2 linked regions of the Astyanax mexicanus genome follow. The protein of the gene in region 2 purifies or fractionates together with the protein of the main gene of each other region. This does not show direct contact. Links are inferred from orthologs where the notes say so. Each region holds a gene or a part of one and is shown on either strand. Other genes may lie near its edges.

Evidence for each region. The genes of interacting proteins can lie anywhere in the genome.
Region 1: the proteins of kifbp (region 2) and kif14 purify together in Homo sapiens (affinity purification with mass spectrometry; 3 studies listed by BioGRID and IntAct, counting the BioPlex papers as one, with this or other methods). This does not show direct contact. The link is inferred for Astyanax mexicanus from reciprocal best matches to the Homo sapiens genes KIFBP and KIF14.

What each region holds. Positions count from the first base shown.
Region 1 is NC_064423.1:20,759,786-20,767,042, forward strand, and holds the start of kif14 (kinesin-like protein KIF14), read left to right. Parts: upstream 1-4,156; 5' UTR 4,157-4,579; coding exon 4,580-5,559; intron 5,560-6,424; coding exon 6,425-6,679; intron 6,680-6,770; coding exon 6,771-6,858; intron 6,859-6,976; coding exon 6,977-7,075; intron 7,076-7,257. Other genes in the region: probable ATP-dependent RNA helicase DDX59, read left to right, coding at 69-320, 1,285-1,437, 1,718-1,846, 2,351-2,614. UniProt on the Homo sapiens protein: Microtubule motor protein that binds to microtubules with high affinity through each tubulin heterodimer and has an ATPase activity. Plays a role in many processes like cell division, cytokinesis and also in cell proliferation and apoptosis.
Region 2 is NC_064414.1:42,927,111-42,934,958, forward strand, and holds the start of kifbp (KIF-binding protein), read right to left. Parts: upstream 3,094-7,848; 5' UTR 3,020-3,093; coding exon 2,582-3,019; intron 1,001-2,581; coding exon 902-1,000; intron 1-901. UniProt on the Homo sapiens protein: Activator of KIF1B plus-end-directed microtubule motor activity. Required for organization of axonal microtubules, and axonal outgrowth and maintenance during peripheral and central nervous system development.

The sequences.
Region 1 (7,257 bases), on a different chromosome or scaffold from region 2:
TTTATGTTTAAGTTTTGCTGCAACCTATGCATACAATCTTATGAAGTCTCAAATGTTGTTCATCGTAGGTAGACACCATGTTGAAGATGGGATTCCAGCAACAGGTACTTGAGATCTTGGAGCAAGTCCCTGATGATCATCAGACTTTGTTAACTTCAGCCACAATCCCTGTCGGGACAGACCAGCTAGCATCTCGTCTGACACAGGACCCAGTGCGCATCTCTATTGGTCAGAAGAACCAACCATGTGCTAATGTTCGCCAAATCGTTGTCTGGGTAGAAGAGCCATCAAAGAAAAAGAAACTTTTTGAGATTCTAAATGTAAGTAATGGAAAATCATTATATTCCACAAACACCTACTGCTGGTGTGCATCCATGTAGAATGATTTTTTTTTGTTTGTTTTTACATAAGCCCTTATGCTGTATATTATTACTTCTAAAATGTGATACATGAATTCCATTTAGTAAAACTGGGATTGAGTGTATTTAGACAGGTGCAAAAAATCTACCGTTATTTTAGAGAAAATGGGAGGGGTCACCTTTTATGGCACTGATCCAGGAAAAAGAGTAACTGCTCATACATTCCACACGAAACAGGGAGAAAAGAATGTCTCAACACTCATTTTATGCATCATCTCTTACCACCACACCCAAAATTTGCACATGGTATATTAATTTTAGACTGGCCAGTTTATCAATTGACTCTTGTCTTGGACTAAGCTGGTTTAAAATTTAATGTGAGCTTTAGTTTAATACAGGTCTGAGAATCAATCCAGCCCAATCAAAGATTAATAATCAACAATTCAATTAGTTGACATTATGAGTGTAAAAAAAAATAAATAATAAGAATGTGCCCCTATACAGGTATACTGTCTGTTTATTGGTTTCTGAACCTTTATTATAGAATTTGAACAATAAACAATGGTTACTATTCTGCACCAAATTAGCAGTACATTAGATTTTAACCTTTTTTACATTTAGTTCATTGTACAGTAGTGAACACACGTAAAACACTAGTAGTGAAACAATAAGAACATGTGGAGCTAACAAGAAAAATGCACTGCTCTTTTACTACCATTTTCTGTGGGGAATGATTTATTAATTCAGGGAATTAAACCAGAAACCTTCTGGTCCCAGGAACACTTATCTATAAGTATCCCAATCTGGGGTTTCTGGGCCCCATCACACAGTTAGCAAGTGCCTTGTTTATTAGGTCACTGCAACACAAAAGTCCACATGCAGAGTATTCTTGAGTATGTTAATAATTGATTTTCTTTTTTTACAGGACCAAAAACTCTACCAGCCACCAGTCGTAGTGTTTGTGGATTGCAAACTCGGAGCAGACCTTTTATGTGAAGCAGTGCAGAAGGTTATGGGCTTAAACGCAGTCGCTATTCACTCTGACAAGAAACAGTGGGAGCGCAATAGAATTCTAAAGGTAAGATTTTTTTGATTGTCACCAGAAATATTAATCGTTAAGAACCTCTGAATATCAATAGAAAATTTAAAGTTGAGTTAGTTAAATGAATGCCCATTCTTGAGCAGCTCATTCTTGTTTTTTTTTGTGATGAGTTTTTTATCTTTTAAAGGGTCTGTCACACACATGTCCCCATTAACTCTTTTGGTTTAAATGTTACCCAAAAACGTTGCTTGGATTATATATGTAATAAATACCTTCATTTTCAATGTAATTATTATAAAACTTTTGTATTTCTCAGGGTCTGCTTGAGGGTCAGTTTGAAGTTGTGGTCAGTACAGGTGTGCTGGGCAGAGGTCTGGACCTGGTCAATGTCAAGCTGGTGGTGAATTTTGACATGCCAGCTAACATGGATGAGTATGTTCATCAGGTACGATGTCCTAGATTCTAAAAACTGGTGATGACAGCTGGCATTGGAATGTGGTAGAGAGTGTACAGTTGTGCCTGTCACGATAATTACTATATCGAATTATCGTACAATATATGGTTATTGCCTCTATTGAATATTGGGTTTTTTGATACAAGGTATTCTTTGACTGTTTATAACGTTTTTTTTTTATGCTTTATTAATGTAGGATAATTTTGTTTGTTTTTATATTTCTTATCTTATGTCTAAATATTCTTAATAATTAAAAATGTATTTGCATTTTAATGATATTGTCCTTATATCAGTTATATCTTTAAAGTAACTATATTTTTTATGCAATTATTTCCTGAGCAATATTTTATTTAAACAGTCATTCAAATATCATTCACATCGTGACAACCCTAATTCAGTGTAAATTTGTTTGTTGAACATGTTTATTAAAGATTGTGGTCTGATTACTGTTTTAGTAACATGTTTGTTTGTTTTTTTTAATACCTGTGCTTACAGATTGGCAGAGCAGGAAGACTGGGGCACAGAGGAACAGCCATTACTTTCATGAACAACAACAATAAACGCTTGTTTCTGGACATAGTGAACCGAGTAAAACCCACAGGCTCACAGCTTCCCCCACAACTCCTCAACTCCCCACATCTACACGAGCAGCAGAGGAGGGCCAGACAAAGGAGTAATCATGGACAAGATGATGTTGTGACCAAAAATAACCTTCTTGACATTATTAGAAGGCATGACAGAAGCTGTGCTAAGAAGTGACATGGACTCTAAAGACACATTTGATACAGTTATCATTAAAACCATCTGCCTAAAATTGTATAGGTCAACATGGTACCACCAAAGCAGCTCTGACCTGATGAGGCATGGCTTTCACAAGACAACTGAAGACTACGGATTCTTTTTTATATATCTTGCGTAAGTCATTAGGTGAGACTTCCGTGAAGTGAACCATCAGTGAGCCTTGGGTTCACCCATTTTTCATCCCTGGATGTAAATACTTTTGTAGGTAGTGACCAAACTTGTTGATCAGAATGATTATGAAATGCCTGTAAATGTACTCAGTGTTATGACTGATCAGGGTAGGTTAACTGTTTTTTTATTGTTTTATCTTTATTTTCAATTAATAAATAGATGTTACAACTGAGCTTTCTGACTGTCCATTGTATTGGTGATCTGTAGCAGTAGCTTTAGACTGCTAATTGTTGACCAAGAGAAGAAGCATATGTTGGTACAAAGTATTGACTTAAACACACTCCAGCACCTTACAGCTGAACTCTTTCACCGGGAAGCTTTATGAATATGAGCCCTGGACACATTCAATTTATATATGTGTAAGAAGAACTGAGTTTGGGCTCTATCTTTTAAAACACCCTTATGCTATCTATTGTATCATATTGTCATGTACCAGAAACATTATTTGGTTTAAAATTTCTCAAATAGTTAAACATGTTTACATGACCATATAGTGTTCAAATCATTAAAAAAAATCCCTGTGAAATATCACTTATTATAAAAGGCCACAACACCTTACTTTTCTTGTATTTTTGACATTAAGCAGCAACATATAGTTACACATAAACGCCCAGTTTCCCAAAATCTCTGTAGAGACAGAGAGAATGTTTGTTTAATCAGTTGAGTGTTTAATGTGGTCTAAGTGGTTTTGTGTGAAACCCAAAATTCATTATACTTAACTTCAGTCGCTGTAAACAAATTGGTTATATATGGGTTTTTTTTTCTTTACTTTTTTATTGTTAATGTTGCCAATAAGATAAAAACTTTTGTTTTTAAGGAAGGCATACAGATACTACACAAAATAAAGTGTTTTCTTAATCATTCTGTACATTCTGTCTTTAAAGTACAAATAATAAATCGTAAGATAGAAAAATATATACATTTATTAAGGAATAACTATAAAACATGTTAAAACAAAACTTAAAAAAAAATCTATGCAGATATTAAGCATTATATAGCTCCCATTACCCGTTTTCAAATATCTAGCTACTGAAGGCAATACACAGAAATATTAATACAGCTATAATGTCCAAAGAAATGATTAAAAATACATAACAAATTAATGGGGCATGCAGCTGCAGTTAATTAAACACATTTAATATTTTTTTAAAAACTGATAAATAATATTTTTTTTTATATAAAGATCATCCCTAAAAGTCGCATTAAAGAAAAGCAGCGACATGGCGCCACCTGTCGATTAAACCCTGTCTCTGCAAGACCTGGGTGTGTGGGGATGTCTATGGGGAGGACCGTGTGTGTGACGCCATCGCGCTCAGCGGTCCAGTAAGATCAGACCGGTGTTTTTTGAATTGAAGCGGCAGGAAGGCGGAGAGTAGGCAGCGCTTACTTAGCGAGGAAAAGGTAAACAAAGAGTCACAGTAGTGAGAGAAATATTATTTATTCATACAGCAGGGGATATTTAGCTGTTTACTGTTCTGAGAACAGACTGCAAGGTTGTTAATAACAGAGTTCGCTAGTTAACGATTAGCCAGTTAGTTAATTAACGCTACTTAGCTAAAGTTAGCAAGCTAACGCTGGTTGAGTTCAACGTAGAAAACAACACCTCTGCTAGTAGTTAGCTAGCTAACGTAACGTTATGTAGCATGTATTAGCTAAGTTAGCTATGTTATGCTAACATATTAGCGTTAGGTCGTTTATGGGAGTTTAGCGTTAGGTTAACTCTTCACTTCAGCTTTTAAGTTAGAAAAGAAAATGGACGCGTTAAAAGGCGAAGAAACGTCATGTTCTCTTGACAAAAGTAACGTTAAAGAGATAAACAAAACCTATATTATATCCGCGCTAAACAAATCTACACCGAGGTCAAACGCGTCCAGCACCAGTTTCTCTGGAGCTCGGCTCACTCTCCAGAGGAGGAAAACAAACAGCAAAGGACCCGAGCTCTCCTCAGCCCTTCAAGACACCGAAAACCAGAGCGAACCGCACGGGAAACGGCTGACTCTACAGCGCAGGACCAGAGCAGGCTCTGTGGATAAGGGCACTCCGTCTGCAGACGAGAAAAAAAGAGCCTGGGTCAGCTCAGCAGTGCTGTCAGAGCCCAACAGTGCCCGCACCCCGGGCAGGTTAGCACTGCTGCGCTCTGCTTCTCTCAGAGACACGGAGTCTAAAAGAGCTCATAAAGACCTGCTACAACCCCCAAACACTCCCTGCACAACTGCAGCTACTGAGAAATCATCCACGCGTCCTGCTCAGACTGCTAAAGTAAATGCAGCTCACGACCAAGCCAAGGCAAGCTCAACTCCAACAGGAAAAACACAGTTCGAGAAGCTGAGTCTGAAGAAAGAGGTGTTTGAAAGACTGGCAACCAGAGATGTTCCAAAACCAGTGTCACTGAAGCAGCATCCTTGTGTGGACAGGTCAAAGCACTCAAGCACTGACTCTGGCAAACCCCAGGCTTCTTCTTCTAAGAAAGTACCTCTTATTAATAATCAATGCAAGAACCTTATGATGGCCGTCACTCCTCGATCAACGCAGGTGAGAAAAACCACAGCCCAGACAAGCTCCACAACACCCAGTGGAACCATGAGCTCAACCAAAGCCAGGCCTCCGTCCACAAGTGAAACACTTCTTTCCACTGAAGGGAAGCTTGTGAGTCAAGCTGCAACACATCCAGAACTGAAGATGGAGGACAGTGCAGTTACTGTTGCAGTGCGAGTCAGGCCTTTCAGTTCCAGGTAATAGAATTTACAGTATGTTGAATCATATTCATTGTATTTATTCAATTTTCATTCCCTTTTATGGGTGTCTTAATTCAAAAGGCTTAGATATAAGGACTGGACATTATGGCCGAATGTTATATAGCATGGTATATTTCTTATTTTCAGTCAAACTCTCAAGAATGCCCACAGCTAGACCTGTCATAATAACTATATATATTTTTCTATGATTAATTGTGGAAATAAATAAATAAATCATATTATTGCCATTTTATGCCACTGATATATCAGTAAAATATAATAACATAAAATGGCATTACACTTGCCTGTCACAATAAAATAATTTTGTGCACGATATATCAGCCATTACATGACTGGCTAATTTTTTTTTACAGTTATATGTGAACAAACATACAAATAAACACAATATACAAATATTATTGAGGTCATCTCATGTTTGAGACTTGTATTTTTCTTTGATAATTCGTATTAAATGTCATTCTTTATATTTAGTATCCTTGAGATCAGAATATCTAGACTAGCTAAAATACAGATGACATTCATTATTAAAACCATGTATGCAAGTAAACACAGTGGACAAAATTAAGATCATCAAAAATGAGTGTGGTCACATCCATTTTATCGTGTTATAATTTAATAATGCAATTATTGTGACAGGCTTACCCAAAATTAATGTCTGTACCTACAAATTTGAAATATCGTTAATGTATTTACAAGCATATTACTTTTATTGAAACATTTTCTATCACAATATACAGTATATAGATTTTATTTTTATACATTCATATTTAGATGTTATTAATAGCACCTTTTCAGCTGGATAAACTCATCTTCTCCTTTTTCGTTTCTTTCATTCCACCAGGGAAAAGGGTGAGAACAGCTGCCAAGTAATTTTCATGGATAATCAGGAGACGGTGGTTCAGCATCCAGATACTAAGCAGACCTACACGTTCGCATTTGACTTCTCTTTTTGCTCACTTGATGAAATGGACCCACGTTTTGCAAGTCAGCAAACTGTTTATGAGAATTTGGCAAAACCTCTTCTTGAAAGAGCTTTTGAAGGCTTTAACACTTGCCTGTTTGCTTATGGGCAGACTGGTTCTGGAAAATCATACACGTAAGTACTGTAGTTTACGGTTTTTAGAAATGTACAACATTGTTGACAATGATGGAAGCAGTTTTTTTAATTGTTCTGACATTTCTTCCAGTATGATGGGTTTTGGGGAAGAGGCTGGAATCATACCGAGGTTCTGTGAGGAACTTTTCTTAAGGTTGTCAAGAGCCGACAGTAAGGAGGTGAGCTGTCCAAAGTACAATGTCCCAGTCCTAGGTTGAAGGCAGTATCTCATCTAAAACTGTACATTAACTATTTATGACATCATTGTGTTTAGACCTGTGTGTATATTTTTTACAGGACACTTGTCATCTAGAGATGAGCTACTTTGAGGTGTACAATGAGAAGATTCATGATTTGCTTGTAGCCAAGGATGAACAAAACCAAAAGAAGATGCCTGTGAGTAGAACAAGAATATAATGTTGAATTTCTGTGGCTTAGTGTCATCCATCATAGCCAGCAGAACATGCCTTTTTTCGTCTCAAATGCCAATTTGACATTTTTGAAGTGGATACACCTGTGTATGTGGTGATTTTTTAAATAGAAATTTCCATTTATCCAGTAAAAAAAAAAGACGTATC
Region 2 (7,848 bases):
TTTAATCTTCATTGTAATTGTTAATAACAAGTCTAATCACACTGATCAACCAGCATAACCAAATAGTTGTGTGCCATATTGTATCGTACGCAATAATATCACCAACATTTTTGAATATTGCAAACAATATTATGCCCTGAAATATTGTGCCATATCACTCCTATTGATCACATCAGGGTACAACTTTTTTTGCTGTTTGTAGCAAAATAAAAAAATCACGCTTCTTGCGTTTTCCATTATATATCTACAAGAAACAGACTATATCTGTCTAGTATAATTAATTTTTCATTTAGTCCTGGATTTATGTAGTATCATAATATTCTGGATCATTGACTTCTGTTACAAATCTGATACAATTCTTGTATTTTTTAATATCTCAGTTAAGGGTGTGCCATATCACACTGTACGCAATAATAAAATTATTTTTTTATTTTGTTGCATTAGTGTATTTGTTTTTTTATTCAGCTTTTTGTCATATCTCCAAGAGTATCGTTTCATGAAAATGCCATATCGTGACTATCGAATAATATAACTATTGTGATATTATTTTAGGGCCATATCGCCCACCCCTATAACCAAATATAATGAAAATCAAATGCAGCATACTATATGCTGGTTAAGAGCTGGTTAACCAGCTAGATTTCCAGCAAAGTGTATGTTTCATCTGGACGAACAGCTTTTCAACTACCTTGAGCTTCCAAAAGTAGCTAGTCCTGAGCTGGATATTCCCGCAGTGTCATGGTATGACTATGTTAGCCTGCTCAGAACATCTCAATCTGTTAGTTAATATTGCTATCCCCTTACACTACACAAACTGGGTGTAAACATTGTGTATGCGAATAAGTGAAGACATCTTCCACGTTTTATTGTGGGTGATTAATAAAATAAAGATCTGCATCACCTCTTTCATGTAGTTTACATAAATGGATTCTGCTGTTTCCAAGAATCCTTGAGCTTTCTCAGTTTCATCTCTTCCAGCCCACAAGATCCCAAGCTGGTTCTGTTGAGGAAAGACAAAGAGTCAGGTTACACATAGGCCTGTCACAATAATTCTAGGTATTAACTTTTTAAACAATATATTTGCTTTGAAATATACATTTACTTAGAGAGGAGAGCTGATATGGGCCATACTATGGTATTTTATCATACTGTGAAAAATCATATCAGAAATATCATCAATGCTTAAAGGTCACCTTCCGTCGTTTTTTCTTTCATTTTAAAATGTCTAGTTGTGGTCTCTAGTATGAATGAATGACATGTGAGCCGTTTTTGTAAAAAAAAAGTGCTCAGGTGTCTCTGTATAGCTCTTTTTTAAAGGACTGTTTTAGGGGTGTGTCCAAAATGACCGGATTCCAGCTTTGCTCATGAATATTCATACATGCAAACAGCATGCAAATATCTCTCCTCTGATTGGCTAGGAGCACTGCGACGCCCCTCCACCGCTCTGCCGCTCACTGCCTCCCACCTCCTAACTGATGAGCGGTGATGTTGCGTCGCTTCAGCTCCGCCTCTGGGAGTTTCTCGAGCCAAGGTGGGCTGGTCTGTGAGTTTCTGCCTACGTAGGCAGAAAGATAATTCAAAATTCACCCGTTTTTCGGAGGGGGGGAGGGGGGACTTCTTTGCTTAGCTCCTGCAGACAATGGGGGCTGCAAAACAGTTTAATGTGCAGGTGTACACATTCAACTCGGAGAGACCTACTGTATTCCACAAAAAACAAGAAAAATCGGATTTTCGCGGAAGGTGACCTTTAAAGAACACTGACCCAACTATATAAGAGAGTGTAATTGGGTAGCAGTTTGTAAGGAATTTGCTACTGCATTGCAATTAGGGATGCATCAATACTGATACTGGTATCAGAATAGAAAAGCATACTTTCTTCATTTCTTTAAAAAATGCTAATGTATATAATGTGACTCAAAATATATCTCAAAATTAACAAATGAACTGTTGCATTGCACTACTTTACACTAAAACCTACACAGTTAAATAATGCTCCTGGTATGGGCGAATACACAAATACATGAACTCGTACTCTTACGCAGTTGGGAAAAAAAAGTATTGATGCATCCCTGATTGCAATAAATATTGTGCACTGTGAAAATGTCTTTAAACACTGTGATACAATAGTTTTACAGTATCACCTAGTTTTAGAGCAGAGTCACAAAAAAGTGGGATTTTTTTTTCATTTATTTAAGATATTAAAAATGGCTGAGGAATATTGTCAAAATATTGCATCAAAAAATCTTTATAATACATGGTCTTAATTGCAATATTTTTACATCACACATAGATAGAAAACATGCATCAGTAGTGATAGTCTGAACAACAACTGTTGGTAAAATAATCTCATTTAGTACACATTTAGTTCAGTGATTTGTGTTCAGAATGTGCTGCTGTACTCCATCCAGTTACATTATTTGTAATAAAATGTGTAGCATATTTTTCTTAGACTGACATTATACAGAATATGCTCAGAAATGTAACTACAAATCATGTGCATCATGATAATAACACCTTAGTGATATTTCTGTGATATATTCGGGATGTATGAGTGATGAATTTGTGTACACTGTGTTTTTACCCTGGCCTGGATGAACAGAGAGACGTTCTCCGGGGTCACTGTGCATTTCTCCAGCAGCTTCATGCAGTTCATCAGATGCTCCTCACCGGCTGAGAGCTCCTCGGTCTCGGTGTGGTTCACGCCCAGGTAGTACTCGATGACCGCGAGCTTGGCGGCTCTGAGGCCGGCCCGCGAGTCTCCCGGCACGGATCTCCCGGCTCCACACTCCGCCTCCTCGGAGCCGCTCTGCTCGCCCTGCCCGTCCGCCTCGCCGTCGCTCTCCTCCGCCTCCACGCTCTTCAGCGCGCAGTAAATGTCTTTTAACAGCTCCCGGGCTTCGTATTTGGAGCGGAACGGGTCGTTCTCCGGATCTTTTCTGGACTCCACCTCGGAAAGGTGGTTCGCCCGCCCGAATTTCTCGCACACCGCCCTCCATTCACGACTGCTGGTGGACGCCATGTTTGTTTTCTGAGGAGAAGAAGCAGAGCCTCTCCCTTCAGTTCAGCTCAGCGATCCCACCAGCAGAGGCCAGCAGCGGCCAGAGCCGCTGGATTTCAGCTTAGTATACACAGTGCCTCAACACAGCCCCTAAAGTGACATCAAGTAAAAAAAAAAAAAAAAAAAAAGCCTGGCCACGACTTATTAACGCGTGGGAACGAGATAATTAATAGTGGGACGGCTTATATGTTCCCACGCTTTAATAAGCAGCCCCCACAACTTAATTATCTTTGAGCCCCTAGGGTGACATCACAAAAAAATATGCAGCCACAACCTAACCCTTTCAGGCTTAAATTATTATGTTTCAATAATGGAAACATATAACAATGCTCTTTTCTGTCTGTAATATATGGAGCCACTAAGGTGACATCATTTAAAAAAAATAATGCATGGCCATACTTTATTAAGGCGTGGGAACAAGATCCTTAGGCGTGGGAACAAGATCCTAATGCATGGGAATGAGATAATTAAGGTGTTGGGGCAGCTTATATGTTCCCACGTTTTAATAAGTCGCCCCCACAACTTAATTATCTCTGAGCCCCTAAGGTGACATCATGTAAAAAATAAAAATAATGCGTGGCCACACTTTAATAAGGCGTGGGAACAAGATCCTAAGGCCTTTATTTCCATAGGCATTTATTTACAGAAAAGTAAGCTTTATTACTCTCCAGCTAGATTTAATTAACTTGTTCCTACGCCTTAATAAGTCGTGGCCACACCTTAATGACCTCATTCCCACGCCTTAATTATCTTGTTCCCACGCATTAGGATCTCGTTCCCATGCCTTAATAAGTCGTGGCTGCTAAAATTTTTTTTTTTTTAGCATGATGTCACCTTAGGGGCTCTGTAGTACTAATAAGTTGCCCCACAACTTAATTTTCTCATTTCCACGTTTTAATAAGTCACCCTATGACTTAATTATTATATCTTGTATCCATGCCTTAATAAGTCATCCCCATGCATTTTTTTTACATAATGTCACCTTAAGGGCTCTATACCCAGCAAATTTCTTATGTTGGTTCCCCCTCTCATCCACCCACACTTTTTATTAATGGAATTCATTATCTTGATTTAAAAATGCTTGAACAAATCCATGGGGTCCACTTTAACAAACCCACTTAATTTTATAGAAATAATATCATGCTTTTGTTTGATCTGCAAGAAGCATCCAAACTGAGAACTAAATTCAATAAATAACCCAAATACAACCCCAAAACAAAAGAAATTCACAATAAAATAATGAATAAAACTTTTATAAAAGTATGGGTCTTATCTTACACTCTGTGCTAGTTGCATCACAATGCTCATTGCTATCTTGCACTATGCCAACAGTCAATTTTTACACCTTCCACCTGTGTGGTTTAAATTGTGCCCGTGCTTGCAAATAGATCTTTAAATTGAAGTGTGTTCAGGTAAATTTATGTTTATATGCTCAGCTGTAGTGGAAAGTGACTGCACAATCAGTAGACACGCATCAGTACATGCAGTGTTCACACAAGCGTCAAGTACAGTAGATCTCAGGTCTTACCAGAAGCCACTGAATTTACGCTTCTGAATGGCGGGTATTTCTGTACTCTATCTTCCTTCAGAAGTAAAAATAATTTCCTGTCTGAAAAAGTTCTGTGCTGTAAAAGGCAAATCATCACACCATTTAAAACGCTCAATAATTAGCTCTAAATAATAATAATAAGACTCTTTCCTTCATATTTGTATATTTTTAAGCACATCTTTCACAATACTTTGGTGTACTTGCACATTGGAGCTACCACCTATCATCTACTTCTCTCTATCATCTACTTCTATCTATCTATCTATCTATCTATCTATCTATCTATCTATCTATCTATATATATATATATATATATATATATATATATATATATATATATGATGCACCAGACAAGCCACAAATTGACTGAAGTGCATCAGCACCTGTCTTAAAATAAACACCCACATCCTCTCACGTCATCAGTGCTATGGGGGCATGTTTGACAACCATAAGTGCACAAGAGCATTATTAACTACTTAGTCTGTTGGGTTAGTAATGTATTATTTGCCAAAAGGTCAGAATTTCACTTTTTTTTCTTTTCTTTCAGTAGTTTTACGCAAAGTACTGTTTATCGGCTAAATTTAAAGTCAGGTTTAAAAATAGTGTAAACTTCAGTGTGAACTTTATTATTTATTTTTTCCCATTTGGTAAGGTGAAGAAATGGACTTTCATCCATTTTTACATTTTTCTATTTTTGCATAATAAGAATGTCAGGGAATATTCAGATGTTTCCATTTTTGCATCTTGTAAAAATCTAATGGTATAATTCAATCTATTTTTTTAAGCAGACATGAAAAACGAGACAATTGGACAAAATGTTTTTTCTTCACTATGCAGTTGTCTACACACCACATGCTTCTGTTTCGGACACAGTGTCTCATGTTGCCTCACACTGATATTCAACTTTAAAATAAACCGTGGATGAACCATGCCGCACTCATTAACAGTTAAACTATCCAGGGTTCTAGAGGACAACTGAAGAACATAACTCTTTCTCTCATTTTAATAAATGTATAATAAAAGCAAAATAAATTAATACTGTAATTGAATATTTTAATCAATCTGAACAACGGTTTGTGCTGATTATAAAAATATAATGAAATTTTAGTGTTGACTAAGTGCTTGGGTCAGAAACGCTGTGGGAGAGGGGTAATGGGCTCATTTACACAGTTTACACTCCATTTGGTTTGTGTCTCTAAATGTCCAAACACAAGAGATTACATATTTACTCACAAAATTTCAGCACTTCACTTTTAATCATTTTCTGGATATTTAACAGACTTTTAAATCCTACATTCAGGGATTAACAGAATGGCAGAAATTATTGTTGTCTAATCCACTAATGAAAAACATAATCATCAGATTTGTCGACCACCAAAATAGTCATTTATTGCAGCTCTTTATCTAATGTAGGCTTTTCTGTTTTGTAGGATTTTTCAGATACAGAAAATGACTAAGGTATCCTATGAAAACTTTGTAGTGTATTGAAGGGTGTGATTGGAGATAACCACACCTTCACACTCTTATTCTTAAATGTTTTATACATGTATATATACAGTTATTATTTTTACTGTTCACTTTATAATTCACTTAATAACCTTATGATCTCTGCTCTCTTTTTAACTGTCACTATGACAAGGCTTTGGAGGTTGTTTTTACTTTTTCAGGAATCAGGAAGGTCAGAGTGTTTTCATCAACAATGAGAGCTGTGAGGAGAACGTGACCCTGAGTGGCAGAGAAGCTTCACTACTGTTCTGGGACCAGTGCATATGAACTAGGAGACAACAAGCTATCTGAGTGAAGTGCTGAGGACCTCTCCTCAGATAGCCAGCGCTTGCCTGTTCTACACGCCGTAAAGTCGTACACAGGGCAGAAGATCTTTCCATCCACTCTTTTCCTCTGTTTCATCTTCTCACAGACTTTAGGACACTTAAGGACTGTCTGCTGTGTTCATGAAGGACACAGTGCTGAACAACATCATGATAAGAACCTGTTGCTCAGACAGGCTGGAGCGGATCACGTCATTAAAACTGGACAACATGCTGTTAACTGGACTCTGCTGACACAATCATAGTGATAAGTTCTGTCCAATCACATGTCATTTGCAAAATGTATAACTGCTTGGATGAAGTCTGAGGAGTTCTCTCTGGCCCTCGACTGGCTTTAGTTTCTTTCTCTTTCTTTCTCTCTCTCTCTCTCTTTCTTTCTCTCTCTCTCACTTTCTTTCTCTCTCTCTCTTTCTCTCTCTGGGTTGCGAATGTGTTGATCTATCGAGATTTTATTCGTTGATGTACTTTTACTCTTTTCTAATATATATCTTTTAATTTTTGTTCCTTTTATATATCTGTAATGCTGAAACTATTTTTCAAGTAAACTTTAATATATTTTAAATTCTAAGCTCTGACTCATTGGTCATCATTTCATGTTCTGAGATTTCTCACATCCGAGTTTTATCTAAGTCATACTGTGGTAAATTACCCTACAGTATAAGTTAAGATATGCAAAATATTCGGCCATTACATTGTTACCACCTTGCTAATGTTAGTAGGTCCCTCATGTGTCACCACATTAAATTTAGACATTTGTGTCATGGTCTCACAGTCAAGTTGTTTGAAGGTTTATTTTGTTGTTTTTTGTATCTGTCACCAAGACATTATTGCAGCAGATCTTTCCTGTAATTGTGGTTTAGTGGTTTCCTTTCTTGGACCATGTTTTGTAGCTACTGACCATTACCTGCCAGAAAAGGCCCACAAGGTCTGCTTGTTGTTTTTTTTTTCAGATATTCTGACCTAGCTGTTTAGCCATCACAATTAATTATCTCTTGTCAAATTAGACTCAATAAGATTCTTAGATTTTTATGCTTGCCCATTTTTCCTGCTTTCAAGACAACTTCAAAAACTGACTGTACTGCCTAAAACTTCAATCTCTTGACAGATGCCACTGTAGATGAAGAATGTATAATTTAACTGCACCTGTCAGTGGTTATGGCTGATCGGCCCTGTTAAAATACACATATGTTTTTTCCTTATTTTGTTTGGCAGTAGTATAATATGTGGATAAGTGACAATGAGCCCATGAATAATGTAAAACTCACTGTGCATTTCTAGGATGTTTAGGCCCTCTCTGCTCATTTTAAACAAATGTCATATAAGGAATGATTTATATTTAACCAACTGTAATACATAAGTGTAAACATTGATTTAGCAGATAAGAAGCCTATAAACTATTGTTTTAGATATCA